3 linked regions of the Stegostoma tigrinum genome follow. The protein of the gene in region 2 interacts with the protein of the main gene of each other region in a biochemical or structural test. Links are inferred from orthologs where the notes say so. Each region holds a gene or a part of one and is shown on either strand. Other genes may lie near its edges.

Region 1 (6,778 bases), on a different chromosome or scaffold from region 2:
CCAGAAAACACTTTTCACTGTTTTTCCCAAATACATGTGACAACAAAATTATTCATTCATTAATTCGTTCATGCATTCATTCATTTCAGTGCTGGATCTGACCATACTTACTGCACACAAGAAACTCCTAGTAGTTCCCATCTGCTGTAGGTGCCCTGTCTGCTTTTATTTAATAAATAATTATTGCCTTAATTAGAGACCAAAAAAAAACTGCAGATGCTGGAATCCAAAGGTAGATAAATGGGAGGCTGGAAGAACACACCAAGCCAGGCAGCATCTGGAGGAAAGGAGCTGTCAATGTTTCGGGTAATTACCCTTCTTCAGGACTTAACTTCATCCACTGAACCTGAACAATGAATTGAATCCAGATAGTAATTAAATAGCAAAACATTAGTTGGCTTAATTTTTTTATACTACTTAACTGATCTACTCTTACTTTATTCTCGATTAAATAAAAATAAGAGTCACCAGAATACCCTCCTCCTGTGATTGCTTGATCTGTAATTTCACTTTGAGAAATGATAATTGCCCCTCCTGCTGGGCTCAGACACTCAGTCAGATTGCAATGCTACACAGCTCCCAGCCTCTGCCTTTATCTGATTATTTTATGATTACTTGTAGAAATAGTTGCAGAATAAATACATATCATGCTAAATTAAGAGATTAAAAACAAACTAAAATTGAAGAAGGTCTGATGGAGCTTACAATTTTTGTCAAATTTAGGAAACACTCGAATAAAACAGAAAAAAAACCTTCAAGATTAATAAGGAGCTTGACCATCCAGGACAAAGCAGCCCAATTGATTAGCACCACATCCACGAACATCCATTCCCTCTACCATCGATTCTCAGTAGCAGCAGTGTATACTGTCGAGAAGATACACTGCAGGAATTCACCAAAGATCTTGAGGTAGCAACTTCCAAACCCATGATCAGTACCATCTAGAATGACAATGGCAACAGATGCACGAGAGCACCACCATCTGCAAATTCCCCTGCTAGCCACTCGTCATCCTGACATGGAATTACATCACTGTTCCTGGGTCAAAATCCTGGAATTTCCTCTGAAAAGGCATTGTGGGTCAGGCTACAGCACATGGACTGCAGTGGTTCAAGAAGGCAGCTCCCTACCACCTTCTGAAGGGCAATAAATACTGGCCAGCCAGCAACACGCACATCCCATGAGAGAGTGGAATAAAACGAAAGTAAGGAGTGTATCTCAAAAAATATTTTTAAACATCTTGCAACCGAGTCTAAAGGGGTGGGCAAATTCTTCTCATTTCCTCTTGCTCTTGGTTTAGCAATGTTTTAAATTTTAAACAAATGTATTTTTCCCTAATTCAGTATGTGCTTGGTTATGCATTAAAGCTATGAAAAACAAGACAGAAAATCCTTTTAAGTTAGTTAAAATGAAGTGGCTTTTTTATTGTAAACTCACTGAGTACGAAGTATAAATATTACTTAAAAGGTATAACCTAACTTGGAATTCCATGTCAGAAACACACAAACTCACACCAACATACACACAAACAAACACACACATGCACACACACACACACACATGCATGCACGTTCACACACACACACACACATACATAAATGTGCGAGCAATCAGAACAAGGACAGGATGAGGGAGGTTGGAATTGAGAAATGATTACAGTTCTCAGGTGAAGGATTATATTTTCTGATGTTGATTTTAAAGTTCTGGTGGTTACAACTGAACTGGTTCTGCTGTTGTCCTGGATTTGTGTACAGCAAGTATGCACATTCAGTATTTTCATCAGATCTGATCATCTTACAGAATTGGGCACACCACGTCCAGTGAAAGGGAAGCTCTTCATCTTTTGATGTGACTGGATGTTACTGCCCTCTTTAGCAACAAGCACAAACGAATCATCATGGCCCCACACAGAAGTGATGTTTCGATGTGTAAACATTGGCTGTTAGGTCACAATAACGATTAATCAATTCTCAAAGAGGTTTGCGGTTTCCCCTTGTTGTAGGTTCAGGTGATGGGGTTTGGGGAACAGTGGTTCAATCCTCCTCTTTACATAGTAAGTTTTGGTTTAATTCGTTGTTCCAATAATATCTGCAATTTCAATGAACACAGCAGGCCAAGCAGCATCTCAGGAGCACAAAAGCTGACGTTTCGGGCCTAGACCCTTCATCAGAGAGGATCTAGGCCCGAAACATCAGCTTTTGTTATCTCGGATTCTCCAGCATCTGCAGTCCCCATTATCTCTGCAATTTCAATCATTGCCAAGGCATTTGAAGATCTCATTGCGAGCTACATATTGAAGATGCTGAATTTTGATGTTCAGGTAATTATCCTTAGATAACATTTTCGGGAATATGGTCAGCCAAGTTTCTTAAACATTCTTTTGTAAATCCCAGTGCAGCTTGGCTACCTTCAGGTCAGGTGACATTGAAAACCATTTTAAGGTATCCCAAACTTATTATTAACTGTTCACTCAAAGACAAAAGTCCATGGCTTTTAAATTCATTGATAAGATTTACAGATTAATATTTCGTACTCTTATATCATCGTGACAAACAGTAAGGTGGTGTGCGAGTGTCAGTAATAAAGAGTAAATTTTTAAAAGTGAGGTTGATTCTGAGGGGACGGGATACAGAGGTAGTGAAGGATAAGTAGAAATTAGCAGGAATAGTTAACAAGTGTTTCATTTCAGTGTTTAACAACATGGAATGCAGAGAAATCCTGAATAGGGTTAACATGAGCTGAATAACATCATAAATAAAAGGAAACTATTAAAGAAGTTTGGTTATCTAAATATTCTGAGACCTGATGAAATATATCAAAGGATTCTGAGGGAAATGAGGAACAAATAGCTTGGTTGATCATGCTCCTGGTAGGAAATGGCAGGAGATTGATTCAGTGACAATGCTGGAGTGAAGTTAAGAGTTGAATTGCAGCTAATAGTTTTCTGTAGTCACAGCGTTATTATTGTAGAGAATTAGGAGAAGGTACTGAAGATTTTTCTTGTTGATGATCACTGCCTGACACGTGAAGGAAAAATGATACATGCCTTTGATTCCTTTGCCCTTTGTAATTTTCAATGGGGTTTGTTGTAAATCTTTGCTTTTCTTTAATTTATATTAAAACTGAACTCACAATTGCACCAATGTAACACAATTGTTGGATTAATATCCAGTAAATTGTGAAATTGATTTATATGTCATGAGCAGTTTCATTTCCACTTTTTCGGTACATTTTGGTTTCCATAAAGCAATAAACAAACTGCTTCACTTCCCTGTAAAACACGAACTAACTACGTTTCCTACTATTCTTGTGGGTTTAATCTTCTCAAATGAAATGTCTACTTGTTATATTTTGCTCAGCGTTTACAATGTTAATCAGTGAATTGTAACCCTCTTGTTATTTTGATATGTCTTGGAATAAAAACAGAAGCATTTCAAGTAATTCCGAATACACCTTCAAAATGTGGAACTGTGACAGCAACTTACCTTCTCAGCCTGGCTCCATTCTCTGCGGAGGAGATGCAGGCAGCCGATGTTGAAACAGATTTTGGAGCTGGGCTCGAGTATAGTGGTGAACAGGTTGAGTGCGGTTAGCCACTCCTGGCGGTCTGCTGCAGTAATGCCTTCATCCCATAATTTGATGGTGTCTGTTAGAGACATACTGAGCCCGGCCGTTTAATGTATACAAGCTGCAGCGCGTGAAATAGCGTGGTTTGTATGCACTGGCTAAACCAGCAACTAATTTCAACGCACTGCTTCTTTTACCGTCTGCTTCCTCCGCTTGACTGAATACGCTATAGAAATACTACAGGAAATGTGACCATGAGCCCAACTTTAGCTGTGACTAGACCAGTTTCATAGGAAGTTAACTCACTGACATTGCCTTTTGATATAGTGGCTGCAAGTCCTGTGGAGATGTGAACGGTCTGACAAATCCAAACCTTACCATGAACATAAGAGAGATTATAACAGTCTAAAGGCAAATTAATTGATTTACCAATCCTCCCGCACCTTCCACAAATATTTTTATATGTTTTGTATTTTAGTTTCCTGTTGCAAACTTCTAAATCAAGTATTTTCGATGCTGGAAACGGCTGGCTAAAAAATTTAACTCTGGGCAGTTTGTGTTCCAGCAGCTGTCAGACTGACGCTTCAGACACCGCCTCTATATTTCCCTGACAACAGTAACATCGTCAACAAACAGGGAGGCCATTACAGACAGACCAAATGCGCAGCTAACAAAGTACTGAAGGGACATCATTTCCAATCACAAAGAAAAGCAAAAAAGCGCTAAGATTTGGTGAGTAGCATTGTCATAGATTCCCTTTGCACCCCCCGATGTAGATTTAAGACCATAAGACGTAGGAGTGGAATTAAGGCCATTCGGCCCATCGAGTCCACTCCGCCATTTAAATCATGGCTGATGGGCGTTTCAACTCCACTTCCCTGCACTCTCCCCGTAGCCCTTGATTCCTTGTGAGATCAAGAGTTTATCGATCTCTGCCTTGAAGGCATCCAACGTCCCGGCCTCCACTGCACTCCGTGGCAATGAATTCCACAGGCCCACCACACTCTGGCTGAAGAAATGTCTCCTCATTTCTGTTTTAAATTTACCGCCTCTAATTCTAAGGCTGTGCCCGTGGGTCCTAGTCTCCCCTCCTAATAGAAACAACGTCTTAGCGTCTACCCCTTCTAAACCATACATTATCTTGTAAGTTTCTATTAGATCTCCCCTCAACCTTCTAAACTCTAATGAATACAATCCCAGGGATCCTCAGCCGTTCATCGTATGTTAGGCCAACCATTCCACGGATCATCCATGTAAATCTCCACTGGACATGCTCCAGCTCCAGTTTGTCCTTCCTGAGGTGTGGGGGCCAAAATTGGACACAGCATTCTAAATAGGGTCCAACTAGAGCTTTATAAAGTCTCAGAAACACGTCACTGCTTTTATATTCCAGCCCTCTTGAGATAACCGACAACATTACATTCGCTTTCTTAATCACGGACCCTACCTGCAAGTTAACCTTTAGAGAATCCTGGACCAACACTCCCAGATCACTTTGTACTTCTGCTTTACAAATTTTCTCACCATTTAGACAATTGTCCATGCCTGTATTCCTTTTTCCAAAGTTTGTACACTGTAGGCTATGGTGCCGATCTCTCCTGTCTCTCACACTGTAGACTATGATGCTGATCTCTCCTCTCTGTGACACTGTAGACTATGGTGCTGATCTCTCCTGTCTCTCACACTGTAGACTATGGTGGTGATCTCTGCTCTCTGTGACACTGTAGACTAAGGTGCTGATCTCTCCTGTCTGTCCCACTGTAGACTATGGTGCTGATCTCACCTATCCGTGACACTGTAGACTATGGTCCTGATCTCTCCTATCTGTGACACTGTAGACTAGGGTGCTGATCTCACCTATCCGTGACACTGTAGACTATGGTGCTGATCTCTCCTCTCTGTGACACTGTAGACTATGGTGCTGATCTCTCCTGTCTGTCCCACTGTAGAATATGGTGCTGATCTCTCCTCTCTGTGACACTGTAGACTAAGGAGCTGATCTCTCCTGCCTGTCCCACTGTAGACTATGGTGCTGATCTCTCCTGTCTGTGACACTGTAGACTATGGTGCTGATCTCTCCTGTCTGTGACACTGTAGACTATGGTGCTGATCTCTCCTGTCTGTCCCACTGTAGACTATGGTGCTGATCTCTCCTCTCTGTGACACTGTAGACTAAGGAGCTGATCTCTCCTGTCTGTCCCACTGTAGACTATGGTGCTGATCTCTCCTCTCTGTGACACTAGACTATGGTGCTGATCTCTCCTGTCTGTCCCACTGTAGACTGAGGTGCTGACCTCTCCTCTCTGTGACACTGTAGACTATAGTGCTGGTGTCTCCTCTCTGTCCCACTGTAGACTATGGTGCTGATCTCTGTTCTGTGTGACACTGTAGACTAAGGTGCTGATCTCTCCTGTCTGTCCCACTGTAGACTATGGTGTTGATCTGTCCTGTCTCTCACACTGTAGACGATGGTGCTGATCTCTCCTGTCTGTCCCACTGTAGACTAAGGAGCTGATCTCTCCTGCCTGTCCCACTGTAGACGATGGTGCTGATCTCTCCTCTCTGTGACACTGTAGACGATGGTGCTGATCTCTCCTGTCTGTCCCACTGTAGAATATGGTGCTGATCTCTCCTCTCTGTGACACTGTAGACTAAGGAGCTGATCTCTCCTGCCTGTCCCACTGTAGACTGTGGTGCTGATCTCTCCTCTCTGTGACACTGTCGACTATAGTGCTGATCTCTCCTGTCTGTCCCACTGTAGACTATGGTGCTGATCTCTCCTGTCTGTCCCACTGTAGACTATGGTGCTGATCTCTCCTGCCTGTCCCACTGTAGACTATGGTGCTGATCTCCTCTCTCTGTGACACTGTAGACTATGGTGCTGATCTCTCCTCTCTGTGACACTGTCGACTATAGTGCTGATCTCTCCTGTCTGTCCCACTGTAGACTATGCTGCTGATCTCTCCTGTCTGTCCCACTGTAGACTATGGTGCTGATCTCTCCTGTCTGTCCCACTGTAGACTATGCTGCTGATCTCTCCTGTCTGTGACACTGTAGACTATGGTGCTGATCTCTCCTGTCTGTCCCACTGTAGACTATAGTGCTGATCTCTCCTCTCTGTGACACTGTAGACTATGGTGCTGATCTCCTCTCTCTGTGACACTGTAGACTATGGTGCTGATCTCTCCTCTCTGTCCCACTGTAGACTATG
Region 2 (6,778 bases):
AGGATATCACTGGCAAAGGTGCTGCATATCCAGCAAATGGAAACTGTTTTGGGGTATCAGAAGGCACTATGTAAAAAGGTTTCACCACCCCATATTGGAGTTGACGTGAAGAAAACAATGACTCATGAGGGTTATGGTCTACAGCCTACAGTTTGTAACTCCAAAAGGTCTGAACCATTACAACATGCAATCTATCATTTAGAATTGCTTTACCACAAACAGAGGATTTCCTGTACATCCTGGGGTCCTGAAGGTCCGAAGAACCAGTGAAAAGTATTTGCACCAAAACACAAGGTTTTCCCAAGGAAAAGCAGATACCTCATTCAGTGCCCGAATTATATACAGAAGGTGCCTCTGGGGAACAATCAAAATTCCTGAACCCCATTCTCTTATGGAGTCGACCTTAAAATCAACAGCTACCAAGGAACCAAAGAGGTAAAGTCAGACAAGCTTCATTTGCTGATACCAATTTCAAGTGCAGCTTCCAGCCCAAATTTCTCTGGATCTACAAAAAAAAATGCAAGCAAAATTCAGTCACTACAAAGTTCAGTTTAAAAAAACCACAGTAAAACAAAAATTCCTAATATTTGTGATGCCCACAGCTTGGAGATGCAAGAAAAATCCATACTAATAAAACGCACATAAAACTCATGCTTGGGAGCCATCATAGAGGCACAAGAAGCTAACTGCTGAAAACAGGTGCACTTCCCGACTAGCAACAGGATATCCGCCCAGGACTATTAGAAACTGAATCTAGGTCAACAAAGTTTCAACAAAGATAAGCGGAGAAAATCTGAAGCATCCTGTAACTAAAGAGTTACATTAACAGTACAAGTTTACAATTTGAGGTCTAAACTACAAGTGAGTTCTTATTCAGCTTCCACACTGCAATGGGAACAGAGAAGGCAACTGGAGACAGTTGCTTTTCTTCATAAAATCAGTGATGCAGAGAATCAAGACTGCATGCCTTTCTACTCATTGCTCCAACAGGAAATAGATAGAAGAACTCAATTTTAGAACTGGAGGCTATATTCAAGTTGAAACCAGCAAATTCCACCAGCCCTGAACAAGTCTGTAGCAGTTACTCAGATTTTTTTTTAAAAAAAGAGAATCCCAGCCACGTAGTAGTACAGAAACTATGAGACTTCCCTGCAGCAACCTACTGTGGTAATTTTCAAACATTTGTCTCAATGCTGCCTTGTTTGCAGGGAACAGTTCCCAGGATAGAATTTGAAACTTGAACATAACCAAATTATTTGTCTGCAATGCTGCACTACTAATTTCTAATAAAGCAAAAAGACAGTCCAACCAATGGAAATAAATGCATTGGATTGCAACAAAAACTTGAAAGTAGGTAAAAATGCACTATTACCTGAAAACAATGACAGTTTTAAAGGTACAGTGAAACAAGAATCAGATATAGCAAAGATCTGAACCACAGCTAGAGTAAAACCTCCTCACAGGAAACTGGGCTTAAGACACTGGCAAGACATTTCGTTTTTGCTTTCATAGTCACTAAAGCAGATCAAGACATGGCACCACTGTACCAACTTTACCGATTATGCAAGTATCTCCATGATAAAATAGTGAATTTGTTCCTTTAAATTATGGAAGAAAACTTGATCATGATGTAAATTTGATGCAAGACAACTCTTGAAATATTTGAACAAGCAGATACAGGTTGAAGTCTTACCCAAGATGTACTTACAAATACAACTTAGTATTTTTGAAATTTACAAGTGAACTGAAATATTTGAAGGACTTAAATTTGCAAGATTACAGCAAAATAAAACAAACAACAGGGGAACTGTCCTATCAGACAGCTTAACTGAAGCAATGCAAAACAATGAACTCAATGGTGCAGCACATTCAAAATTCCATAATTCTCCCTTGGGGAAGAGAACCTTCTTTAATATTAAATCAACAGACAGTTCTCAATTACTCTCACAGATCTTAGGCTGATTTATAAAAGAGTTTCCACATTGAAAAGCAAATAGTCAGATGACCATTGACCAATGTTGACCTAACATTTTAAAAAGTTGATACAGAATTAGCAGATTCTTATATGCCTATATTCTTGCTGGCTTAGCCTTGCAAGGTCTAACTCCCCCTTCCCAGCTAAGGGCAGACACTCAGGAAATTCAAATACTGTACAAGCATACAGATGCTGGATGGATTAAAAACTGAAATACACAAGTCAGACAGCAACCGTGGACAGGGAGTGTTAATGATTCAGATTAACGATTTGTTCATATGAAAGTCAGATACTCAAAAACTGTTTCTCTTCATTTTGTTACTGCTCAATTATTTGCAGCATTCTGTTTCCATTTCAGGATTAGCTCTGGCTTCCAGTTTGAACTCTGGTTACAACAATGCTAGTGAACATTAATTCAACTAAGACACCAAAAAAAAACTAAACCTAACCCATTTTCAGAGACTGTGGATTCAGTAACAATTAAAACAGATTAGCTGAAGCACTGTTGCAGACTTCCTGTTACTGAAAACAGTCTGTACCAAACAAAATAACATATGCCATCCCAAATGCACATATCAAAATGATTTCAAACTGGATCAGATCTATAAATAGAATTCTCAGCCCAGGAAACTCTTCCTCAGAAGAATGCAGCAAAGACAAGAACAATTCAATGTCTTACTAATACTGCTGAGTGATTTGGTGGCATAGTAAAGCAATGATAAAGTACAACTGTCCTCAGCTTATCAGTTTCACAATCTATGACTGGTGATTCAGAAACAAGTCACTGGAGAAGGAAACCTACAATCCCCATATTACAACTATAACACTGGGGGATATCAGCAACTGAAGGAATATCACTTCTTTTTAAGATAACAAAGTGTGGACCTGGATGAACACAGCAGGCCAAGCAGCATCTCAGGAGCACAAAAGCTGATGTTTTGGACTTAGACCCTTCATCAGAGGGGTTTAGGCCCAAAACATCAGCTTTTGTGCTCCTGAGATGCTGCTTGGCCTGCTGCATTCATCCAGGTCCACAGTTATCGTGGACTCTCCAGCATCTGCAGTTCCCATTATCACTTCTTTTTAAGATCTGTGACAGAGGGGCAGCAACCATTTTGAGCAGAAAGGCCCTACTGCAGGCTGTAAGTAGTGCACAGGATCTATGATTCCATGGAAAATAGAGTCTAGCTTTTCAGACAGCCCTATTGTTTCCAGTAGCAGTGCAGCTTCACTGCAGCAAAATCCCTAAACAGTTGACAGAACATTTTCTGTATAATGTACTACCTGGACCAAAAACTCATTGCAAGAGCATCACAACAACTGAAAACATGGAAAAAACCTGTAAATATTTGAACATTAAGTGACATCCAAATGACAAAAGTGCACTGATTAATTCTTCAGGCTTGTCTCATTTTGATTTCTCCCCAACCTGCAAAATAAACCTTATTCAAAAGGAAGCGGGCAATATTGAGATATCACACCCTCTTGACTTCCTCTTTAAATGCTTTGTATTTCTGAGCAATACCAAAAGCAGGAAACCCATTTCTGATCGATAGTTTTAATTTTCAGTAAATCACTCTCTCCCCCCACCCTCCCGAAAAAGGCAGGGATGCTGTTTAAGGTCAAATCGTAGCTGGAATTTCCAGAAGGAAACCGCCTCCAAACTGCGGCATTCGGCGAGACCTGAGTAAATGCAGCAGCAGCAAACATCGCTTGGCCCTCCTCGCCGCCCCACCATCCCCGCACCGAGCTGACAGGTAACTCCTGGCCGGGGTCACACAGCCCCACCCCAAGGTTCCAAAAGCCTCGCCCGGGAGAGGGGAAACAGCTCGAGCCGGGAGGGCGCTGCCCCGACACCGGGTCCCACACTTGGGGGAAACCGGGGGGGCTAAAGACCCGGGTACCGGATCGATCGCATTTCGAACAGGCCAGGCTTTTCATCCCCACGCCCCTCCACTCCACCGACCCGGCTCCCGCACGCACCGCCCCGCCCCACCACGGTAGCTAACCCCAGAGCCCGGCGCAGGAAGCAAGGCCCCGGCAGGGCCGGGCCGAGCCGAGCCGAGCCGCTCACGGCCTGACATAGCGGCACGGGCTAGGGACTGAGAGAACACACGGCCACCTCCCATTCGCCTCCCCACCTTCACTTTTCACAGCCTCCATCACTCTGTCTATCACTCCCTCCGCCCCTCCATTCCTCACTCACCCCCTTCCCCCGAAAGCCGACCGTCTCCACCGGGCGTTGGCAAATGCACGGGGTCTCCGGATCTGCTTTAAACTGCAGCAGGGGCACGTCGCGGTGGCGTCACCGCTGAGCCAGACGTCTTACGTCACCACACTCAGTCTGCGCAGGCTCTGCTCTCTCCAAGGGGTAAAGAGAGTGAATTAGGGGTCAGGAGAGGGGATCTGAAGATTGCATCAAAGATCAGAGGACTGTCTCAGGGATCAGGAGAGTGGATCTGGGATCAGGAAAATGGATCTGAAGATTGCATCAGAGATCAGAGGACTGGCTCAGGGATCAGGAGAGATCTGGGATCAGGAAAATGGATCTGAAGATTGCATCAGAGATCAGAGGACTGGTTCAGGGATCAGAACAGTGGATCTGGGATCAGGAAAATGGATCTGAAGATTGCATCAGAGATCAAAGGACAGGCCCAGGGATCAGAGGAATGGCTCGGGGATCAGGAGTGTGGATATGAGATCAGAAAAATGGATCTGAAGATTGCATTAGGGATCAGAGGAGTAGATTAGGTGCCCCCACCCTGTCCTGAAAATGTTGCCTCTTGTTGGGATTAAGCGTTACAGCCACTGACCAAGACCAACCAGGCCTTGATTCTGTTAGTTAGAGAAAGTGAAGCACCTATTCCCATAGGCATAGTCCATATCTGCTCAAAGTGATAACTGCTTTTGCTTCAAAACATGGTGGACTCTTTCTCCATTAATATACCTTCAGGACATAAGTATCACTGGTAAAGACAGCACTAATTGCCCATTCCATGTTGCCCTGAAAAGGAGAATGGTAGCCTCTTTGAACCACTACAGGCTGCGATTTGGAGCAGCTGCAATTTGCACTTCAGAGTGCAGTTAATAGTCAACCATTGCTTTTTCCCTGGGACTGCAGTCATGTAGACACATAGAGATTCACAGCATGGAAAAAACCCTTCGGTCCAACTCATCCATGCCAACCAGATATTTCAAATTAATCCAGTCCCATTTGACAGTATTTGGCCTATATCCCTCGAAACCATTCGTATTCATATACCCATCTAGATGCCTTTTAAATGTTGTGATTGTACCAGCCTCCCCCACTTCCTCTGGCAGCTCATTTGATCCATGCACAACACTCTGTGAAAATGTTGCTCCTTTTACATCATTCCCCTCTCACTTTAAACCTATGCCTTCTAATTTTGGATTCCCCTGCCTTGGAGAAAGGCCTTGGCTGTTCACCCTATCTATGCCCCTCATGATTTAATAAACTTCTTTAAAATCACAACTCAGCCTCTGACACTCCAAGAAAAGTAGCCCCATCCTATTCAGTCTGTCCTTGTAGCTCAAACTCTCCAACCCTTGCAATATCCTCATAAATCTTTTCTGAACCCTTTCAAGTTTCATAACCTCTTTCCTATAGCAGGATGGCCAGAATTGAATGCAGTATTCCAAAAGTGGCCTATCAATGTCTTATACAGCCACAGCATGACCTCTCAACTCCTATATTCAATACATTGATCAATAATGGCAAACACACCAAGCACCTTCTTCACTGTCCTGTCTACCTTCAACTCCACTTTCAAGGAACTATGAATATGCCTCCCAAGTTCTCTTCGTTTAGCCACACTGCCCGCCCCTGAAGTAGGAGGATATCTGGGAGGTTCTGGAGAAAAATATCTCATCCTGGGAGCAGATATGGTGGAGGAGGAGAAATTGAGAGTATGGGATAGCATTTTTGCGGGAGGGTGGATGTGGGGAGATGTAGTTGAGTTAGCTATGGGAGTCAGTAGGTTTGAAATGGATGTCACTGGTGAGTTGGTTTTCGGAGATGGAGATGGAGTGGTCCAGGAAGGGGAAAGAGGTGTCAGAAATGGTCCAGATGAATTTAAGAGCAAGTTGAAAGGTGTTGGTGAAGGTTGGAGGCTGTGGACTGGAGATCTCCCATAGTGATGAGGTTGTTGATGGTTTGAGAGGTGCTGGCTAGGTGATCAGAGGTGAGGTCATGATTGAGGTGATGAGGAGGAGGTGTCAGAGAGTCAGCATCTGGCCTCAGCGATGTACAGGTCAATTTACCGTACTACCACCATGCACCCCCTCCCCCCCCCCCCCCCCCCCCCCCACCGCATTGTCGGGTTTAATAGTGATATCAAGCTTACTGAACTACAGTTCCTTGGCTTTTCCTTACCACCTTTTTTAAATAATAGCACTACGTTAGCAAACCTATAGTCTTCTGGAACCTCTCCTGTGGTCATTAATGATATAAATTTCTCCACACGGGGCCCAGCAGTCACTTCCCTAGCTTCCCACTGAGTTCGAGCGTACACCTGACCAGGCCCCGGGATTTTATCCACCTTTATGCATTTTAAGACATCCAGCAGCTCCCCCCCCCCCCCCGTAATATGGACACTTTACAAGATTTCACTATTTATTTCCCCGTGTTCTCTAGCTTCCATGTCCTATTCCAGAGTAAACACTAATGTGAAATACTCATTTAGTATCTTGTCCATCTCCTGCTGTTCTACACGTAGCCTTGCCGATCTTCTCTAGGCCTTATCATGTAAAACCTACTGATTTCCTTCTCTGAAGGCCTGAACG
Region 3 (6,778 bases), on a different chromosome or scaffold from region 2:
TTATGGTCAAAGAATTCTGCTTTTGGTAGTGTCTGAAAGACAAAGTCTGAAGTGGGAAGAGGTTTAGGAAGCCCTAGAGGTCAGGATCCAGGCATCTGATGACGCAGCCACCTATGTAAAGAGGTTAAAAACAGTGATCGTCACAATATCAGAATCGGAAAGGTTCAGAAATCTTGAGCATTCACGGACCGGGAGGAGATTGCAGAGGTAGGGACATGTGAGGAGTCCCTAGAGGGATTTGAAAACAAGGAAGAAATGTTAAAAACAGGATGTAATTTGAATGGAGGTGAGTCAATTTAGGTCAGTGAACGCAAATAAAAATAAAAATGCTGGAGAAACAAGACAGGTCTCACAGAATCTCTGGATGGATGTTGCAGAGAAACAGACAGGGAAAAACCAGAGTTAAGAAAGAAGTGAAGCAAAGTATTACTCAAACTAAAATGTTTAGCTGTTTCTCTCTCCACAGATACTGCCAGACCTGCTGAGTTTCTTTCTGAATTTATTTCAGATTTCCCGCAGCCGTAGTATTTTGCTTCTATTTTAGTGAACTTAAGATTGACAGGGGAATGTGACTTTCTGCAAGTTAACACATGAAAGCAGGTTTTTCAGGGCTCAGAATAGGAGAGACATGGCTTTGAGGTAGTTTCCTTAGCTCCAGACTAGAAGACCCAGGTTCAAGGCACACCTGCTCCTGAGTTATTCAATAACATTGCTGACCAGGTTGATTGGAAAATATCCAAAATGTGGAAGACCAGCTAGCAGTGTGTGGAATAAAAGTGTCTAGAAGTAACAAAGAAGGGATTTTACAGCATGTTGTGAAAAGGATGCTTCCTCATGGGAGAATCTAAATGTAATGGGTCATAGAAATTCTACAGTGTGGAAACACTGTTTAAAGATACAGGGTCACCATTTCATAGCAGGATCATAAACTCCCTTCTGTGTGGAAGCAGACCACTCGGCCTATTGAGTCCACACTGGCTCTCTGAAGAGCATCCCACCCACACCCAGACCCCAGCCCCCTACCGTATCCCCGTGAGCCCACATACCCTTGTACACTATGGGCAATTTAGTAAGGCCAAACACCTAGTCTACACTGTGGGAGGAAACCCATGCAGACAGTAGGAGAATGTCTGTGTGGAGTTTGCACAATCGCCCAAGATTGAAATCGAGCCCGGGTTCCTGGCGCTGTGAACCAGCAGTGCCACCGTGCCACCCATTTAAGTCAGAGCCAAAGAGAAATATTTCTGAGTCACAGGTTTTTTGGAACTCTCTTCATTTAAAAACTGTAGAAGCAGATCATTTGAAACTTTTAAAGACAGACATGGATAAGGTTCTTGCTAAGGACAGGGGTGAGATATTATTGGGGGTAGGAAGGTGGCGTAGTCATTGTTGACTGGCAGAGCAGACATGCAGTGCTGAGTGGTATAATCTTGCTCCTAACCTGTAGGTTTGCATGTAAAGTCATTAAGGGCCTCAGCAGAGGAGGTGAGACAGTGACCACATTGAGCAATATCACAAAGATTAAAATCAGTGGTCCATGCAATGTCTGTACAGTGGAAGCAGACAAAATGGCAACTTTCAAAGTTGAATTGGATAAACACTTCAAGGATAAAATGTGCAAGGCTTCAGGAATTGAACAGGGAAGTGAGACTAGTCAGATAGCCTTTTAAAGAAGTGACTAGCTCCCTTTTGTAGTGTATGACAACAGTGCCAAACTCATCCAGGCCGTGCTCAAATCAAAAGCAGCAAATTATTTAAAAGGGACAAAGTGGAGAGGGAGAAATTATCTGAAGGGTCTTGACCTGAAATGTCAACTTTCCTGCTCCTCTGATGCTGCCTGACCTGCTTCATTCCTCCAGCTCCACACGGTGTTGTCTCCGACTCCAGCATCTGCAGTTCTTGCTATCTCCTAGATTTACACAGGATATCTGGTTGGCATGGACAAGTTGGACCGAAAGGTCAGTTTCCCTACTGTGTATCTCCATGACTCTAAGTGAACCTTGCTGAAATGAATGCGATTTGGCAGGAGGGCATATAAAGAAGCAGCTCCATTATCTGTCACACTAGGAAGGAATCACCAGCCCACCGTCCCCCACTGCATCAATAATGCAAAGTGGCAGACAATTAAGTAACTGCAAAATCTGGACTTGCATATTTGCCATAACAATGCCTCCATCTGAAGCATTCAAGAGCGTAAAACAAGTAACAAAAGGGACATTATTTTGTAGTTTCATTCATCAGGAAAAGAAGAATGGGTAAAAGACAGGAAAAGAGTCTGAACAATGAGACATTTCACGTAGGGCTTTATCCTGAAAATGCTCTTAATACAGTGCACTGTGAAGATGCTCTCCACTAATGACATTCAAAGTCAAAGAGGTCGGAGACACAAATGGATGAGGTATCATAGTATACAGCACAGAAACGTGTCTGGAACCAGAGTATCATTGATAAATAACAGTCACATCAGGAGGAGTTTTACTTTCCAACTACAAAAAGGTCTCAGCAAATCAAAAAACCACAATCAGCACTCTGGAACAGACCTTAATATGGAAGCTAGCAATATAGTTGAACACAAGTATTTAGTCCAAAAATATTACACCAAGAAACTAATTGTAACATCAGCAGAAAAATATAGAAGGATGTGAAAGTCACCACCGAAGAGTGCAGCAGAAGCAGATTGAAATTGTGTATTTCAAAAGGTAATGGGTTAGTATCTGAAGAGGAATAATTTGCAAGGCTATTTTGGGAAAGGGACGCGAGTGAGAACAGGTCGAATAGCCTGCTTCTATGCTGTATCTATTCCAACATGCCACAAACGTAAACAGTATCACTTCAACGGGATTTGGGACAGACAACAAAGCTGTTAGATGAAAAGTATGCAATCAAGGAGATAATGCAAGATCTTTTATCAACCACAGGTTAGGTTGGACAGGGCTAGGGTACTCTCGTCCTAGAGAATGGGCTAGAAATGATACCAAATGAGTGAGTGAATCTTCTTCTACGAAGTAACTGGAGGATCTGTGATTGCACGGCTATGCAGAGGAGGCTGGCTGAGATATGAAAGAGGGAATCAAAATTATGAAAAAGTTTTTAAACTGAGTCAATAAGGAGAAAGTGCTTCCAGTGGTAAGAATGATCACTGAACACGAGACACATTTGACAACGGAAAATTGGGCAAAAAGAAAACGATGAAAGCATTTATTACCTAAAATTAGAACGAAAACAGAAAAATAAATTCCCGAATGACTTAGCTAAAAGGGCCGCGTGGAAACAGCAGGGAAATCAGGACAAATTGGACAACTCCGCCCAAGGGCTAGTACGGGAGAACTGGGCGGAATGGCAAGGGTTTTCAGAAGCACACGACATTCTACTCGCGGCCCGCGCGCCGTTTCCATAGTGATGGTCGCTAAGAAACGGGTAAGGGGGAAAAGCAGTGGAGGAGGCCGCGCGCGGTTGCCCCGGTGACGGTTGCCAGGAGCCCGCCGTTACCCTGGCGACGGCTCCCTGGGAGCGCGCGGTTGTCCCGGAGACGGTCGCCAGCAGGCGCGAGGCGGGGCCGGTTCGCCAACGTCCCTTGGTTGGACGGTTCGAATCTGCCGTTCGAAGTCAGTTAGGGTGAAGGAGGAGGAGGGGAGCCGAAAAACACGTTCCTCACCTCCCGCCGCCCGCTGACGAGAAGCTGGGTAAGTGGCCTCGTTCGCTTCCAAATGTAGTCTCTCGCGATGTCGCTGTGATCCCGGCGGCGCTGCTGGTTTGTTCTTACGCTCTGTTTCTATCCTTCACTCCCCGCTGCCCGGTGCTGGATGCCGCTCCTCTCGTTGTCAGGCCGGCCGGCTCAACCTAACCTGCCTAGGTCCGCCCCACGTGTTCCTACTTCCTATTGGTCCCCACGCCCATAACACCGGCTTCAGTTGGCTGTAACCCACGTCAATCAAAGACCATCCCCGCCCCCTCGTCACGCAGGTTTGATTGACGAGTGGACCGGAAGTGGCTTCGCTTCATGATCAGCGCATTACATCATTGCAGTTTCTTAAAGGGCCAGGGCAGTGGGTGTGTTTTGAAACTATTCCTCTCTGCAAGAATTTAGGCTAATAGCAGAATGGTGCAGGTGCTGACATTCGCAACCATCTGTAGGAAAATTCACCAAAGATCCTGCAACAGCACTTTCAAAACCCACAAACATACCAAAGAACTGCAGATATTGGAAAGCAGAAACAAAGACAAAAACTCAACAAATCTGGCAACAACTGTGGAGAGAAGCAGAGTTTTCAGGTCCCCTGACTCTTCTTCAGAACATTTCAGTTCCCCTGACTCTTCTTCAGAACATTTCAGTTTTGTTCCTGAAATAATTGCACAGAGGCCAGTGTCCTATCACCAAGTCGTCCCGAATTTACCTGTATCAGAGATAACTGCAGATGCTGGAGAATCCGAGATATCGGGGGGCTGATTCTGAGCTGGCTGGCCACAGCCGACCGTGCACAGGTAAATTCGGGATAACAAAGTGTGGAGCTGGATGAACACAGCAGGCCAAGCAGCATCTTAGGAACACATGTTCATCCAGCTCCACACTTTGTTATCCCAAATTTACCTGTGCACGGTCGGCTGTGGCCAGCCAGCTCAGAATCAGCCCCCCTGACCTGAGGAGATTCTGAATCCCCCGTTAAAATTGGTCAGCTAGTGGCTCCTGATTGGCCCAGTTTAAGAACCACAGTCAAGGTACTCATAGTCAACAAGGTCCATCTGGTCCAATCACTAGAGTTCCCTCAAAACTCACAACCAGTTCCATTGTGAAGGACGAGAGCAGCAGATACATGGTCACACCACCACCTACCAGGTCCCCTCTAAGCCACTTGCCATCCTGATTCAGAAACATATTGCTGTTTCTTCAGTATCACTGAGTCAAAATTCTGGGATTCTCTCCCTAACAGTATTATGGGTCAACCTACGAAAATGAAGTGCAGTGGTTCAAGCAGACAGCTCATCACCACCCTGTGATGGGAAACTGGGGATGCACAATAAATGCTGGCCCAGCACAAGTAAATAAAAAAGAAAATCTGATGTGAACAGTTTGTAATGGAATTATTCGCTAGGTCTAGGAACAGAGTTGACATTTGATCAATAACCCTGCATTATCATGGTGGAAGATTTGCAGGACAGCAGTCTTGCCATGTAGACAAAATCAGAAGTCACATGACACCAGGCTATAGTCCAACAGGTTTATTTGAAATCACAAGTTTTTGGATGGCTGCTCCTTCATCTGACTGAGATTCATAGAATCCCTACAGTGTGGAAACAGGCCATTCAGCCCAACAAGTCCACACTGACTCTCCAAAGAGCATCCCACCCAGACTCACCCTCATAACCTATTCCTGTATTTCCTATGGCTAATCCATTTAAATTACACATCTCTGAACACTATGGGCAATTTAGTAAGGCCAATCCACGTAACCTGCACATCTTGGGGAGGGAACCAGTGCACCTGGAGGAAATTGACACAGACACAGGGAGAATGTACAAACTCCACACAGACAGTCGCCCAAGGCTGGAATTGAACCCAGGTCCATGGTGCTGTGAGGCAGCAGTGCTAACCACTTAGCCATCGTATCGCCCACCCCAATCCAACACCAGCACATCCACATCATTGCCAAGTAGACAAAGCAATGGTTGGCAGGACTACACCATCGCCATAGTGACAGCTGCCACTAGTTGTGGGTCCAGGCAACTTTGCCAGTAGTTAATAAAGTGTGAAGCGGGATGAACACAGCAGGCCAAGCAGCATCTCAGCACAAAAGCTGACGTTTCGGGCCTAGACCCTTCATCAGAGAGGGGGATGGGGTGAGGGTTCTGGAATAAATAGGGAGAGAGGGGGAGGCGGACCGAAGATGGAGAGAAAAGAAGATAGGTGGAGAGGAGAGTGTAGGTGGGGAGGTAGGGAGGGGATAGGTCAGTCCAGGGAAGACAGACAGGTCAAGGAGGTGGGATGAGGTTAGTAGGTAGGAAATGGAGGTGCGGCTTGAGGTGGGAGGAAGGGATGGGTGAGAGGAAGAACAGGTTAGGGAGGCAGAGACAGGCTGGGCTGGTTTTGTGATGCAGTGGGGGGAGGGGATGAGCTGGGCTGGTTTTGGGATGCGGTGGGTGAAGTCCACATTGATACCATTGGGCTGCAGGGTTCCCAAGCGGAATATGAGTTGCTACCCCCTTTGTCTGTAGGAAGTGGGAGGAATCGAATGAGAAGTTGTTGAGGGTGAGGACGAGTTTGGCTAGGCGGATGAGGGTGTCAGTGGAGGGGGGCTGGTCGGGCCTGCGGGACAGGAAGAAGTGGAGGGCCTTGAGGCTATCTGCATGCGGAATACAGGTGTATAGGGACTGGACGTCCATGGTGAAAATGAGGTGTTGGGGGCCAGGGAATTGGAAGTTCTGGAGGAGGTGGAGGGCGTGGGTGGTGTCACGGACGTAGGTAGGGAGTTTCTGGGCCAAAGGGGAGAAAATGGAGTCCAGATAGGTGGAGAATAGTTCGGTGGGGCAGGAACAGGCTGAGACAAAGAGTCGACCAGGGCAGGCAGGTTTGTGGATTTTGGGAAGGAGATAGAAACGGGCCGTGCGGGGTTGGGGAACAATGAGGTTGGAGGCTGTGGGTGGGAGGTCCCCTGAGGTAATGGGATCATGAATGGTGTTGGCCTGCCCTGGTCGACCCCTACAGCAGGGGCAAAAGCAGGAGCGTGTCCTGGTCAGCAAGAACCAAGTAGTAGCTGTAGTGCAACGGTTTCACCTTGCTTTA

What was found. The genes of interacting proteins can lie anywhere in the genome.
Region 1: the proteins of cdc42 (region 2) and ncf2 form a complex in vitro, tested with the Homo sapiens proteins (2 studies listed by BioGRID and IntAct). The link is inferred for Stegostoma tigrinum from reciprocal best matches to the Homo sapiens genes CDC42 and NCF2.
Region 3: the proteins of cdc42 (region 2) and pak1 form a complex in vitro, tested with the Homo sapiens proteins (11 studies listed by BioGRID and IntAct, with this or other methods). The link is inferred for Stegostoma tigrinum from reciprocal best matches to the Homo sapiens genes CDC42 and PAK1.

The regions. Positions count from the first base shown.
Region 1 is NC_081361.1:45,930,457-45,937,234, forward strand, and holds the start of ncf2 (neutrophil cytosol factor 2), read right to left. Parts: upstream 4,042-6,778; 5' UTR 3,660-4,041; coding exon 3,486-3,659; intron 1-3,485. UniProt on the Homo sapiens protein: Subunit of the phagocyte NADPH oxidase complex that mediates the transfer of electrons from cytosolic NADPH to O2 to produce the superoxide anion (O2(-)).
Region 2 is NC_081381.1:37,037,092-37,043,869, forward strand, and holds the start of cdc42 (cell division control protein 42 homolog), read right to left. Parts: upstream 4,298-6,778; 5' UTR 4,182-4,297; intron 1-4,181. UniProt on the Homo sapiens protein: Plasma membrane-associated small GTPase which cycles between an active GTP-bound and an inactive GDP-bound state. In active state binds to a variety of effector proteins to regulate cellular responses. Involved in epithelial cell polarization processes.
Region 3 is NC_081359.1:105,736,555-105,743,332, reverse strand, and holds the start of pak1 (serine/threonine-protein kinase PAK 1), read right to left. Parts: upstream 3,864-6,778; 5' UTR 3,656-3,863; exon of another isoform or gene 3,529-3,655; intron 1-3,528. UniProt on the Homo sapiens protein: Protein kinase involved in intracellular signaling pathways downstream of integrins and receptor-type kinases that plays an important role in cytoskeleton dynamics, in cell adhesion, migration, proliferation, apoptosis, mitosis, and in vesicle-mediated transport processes.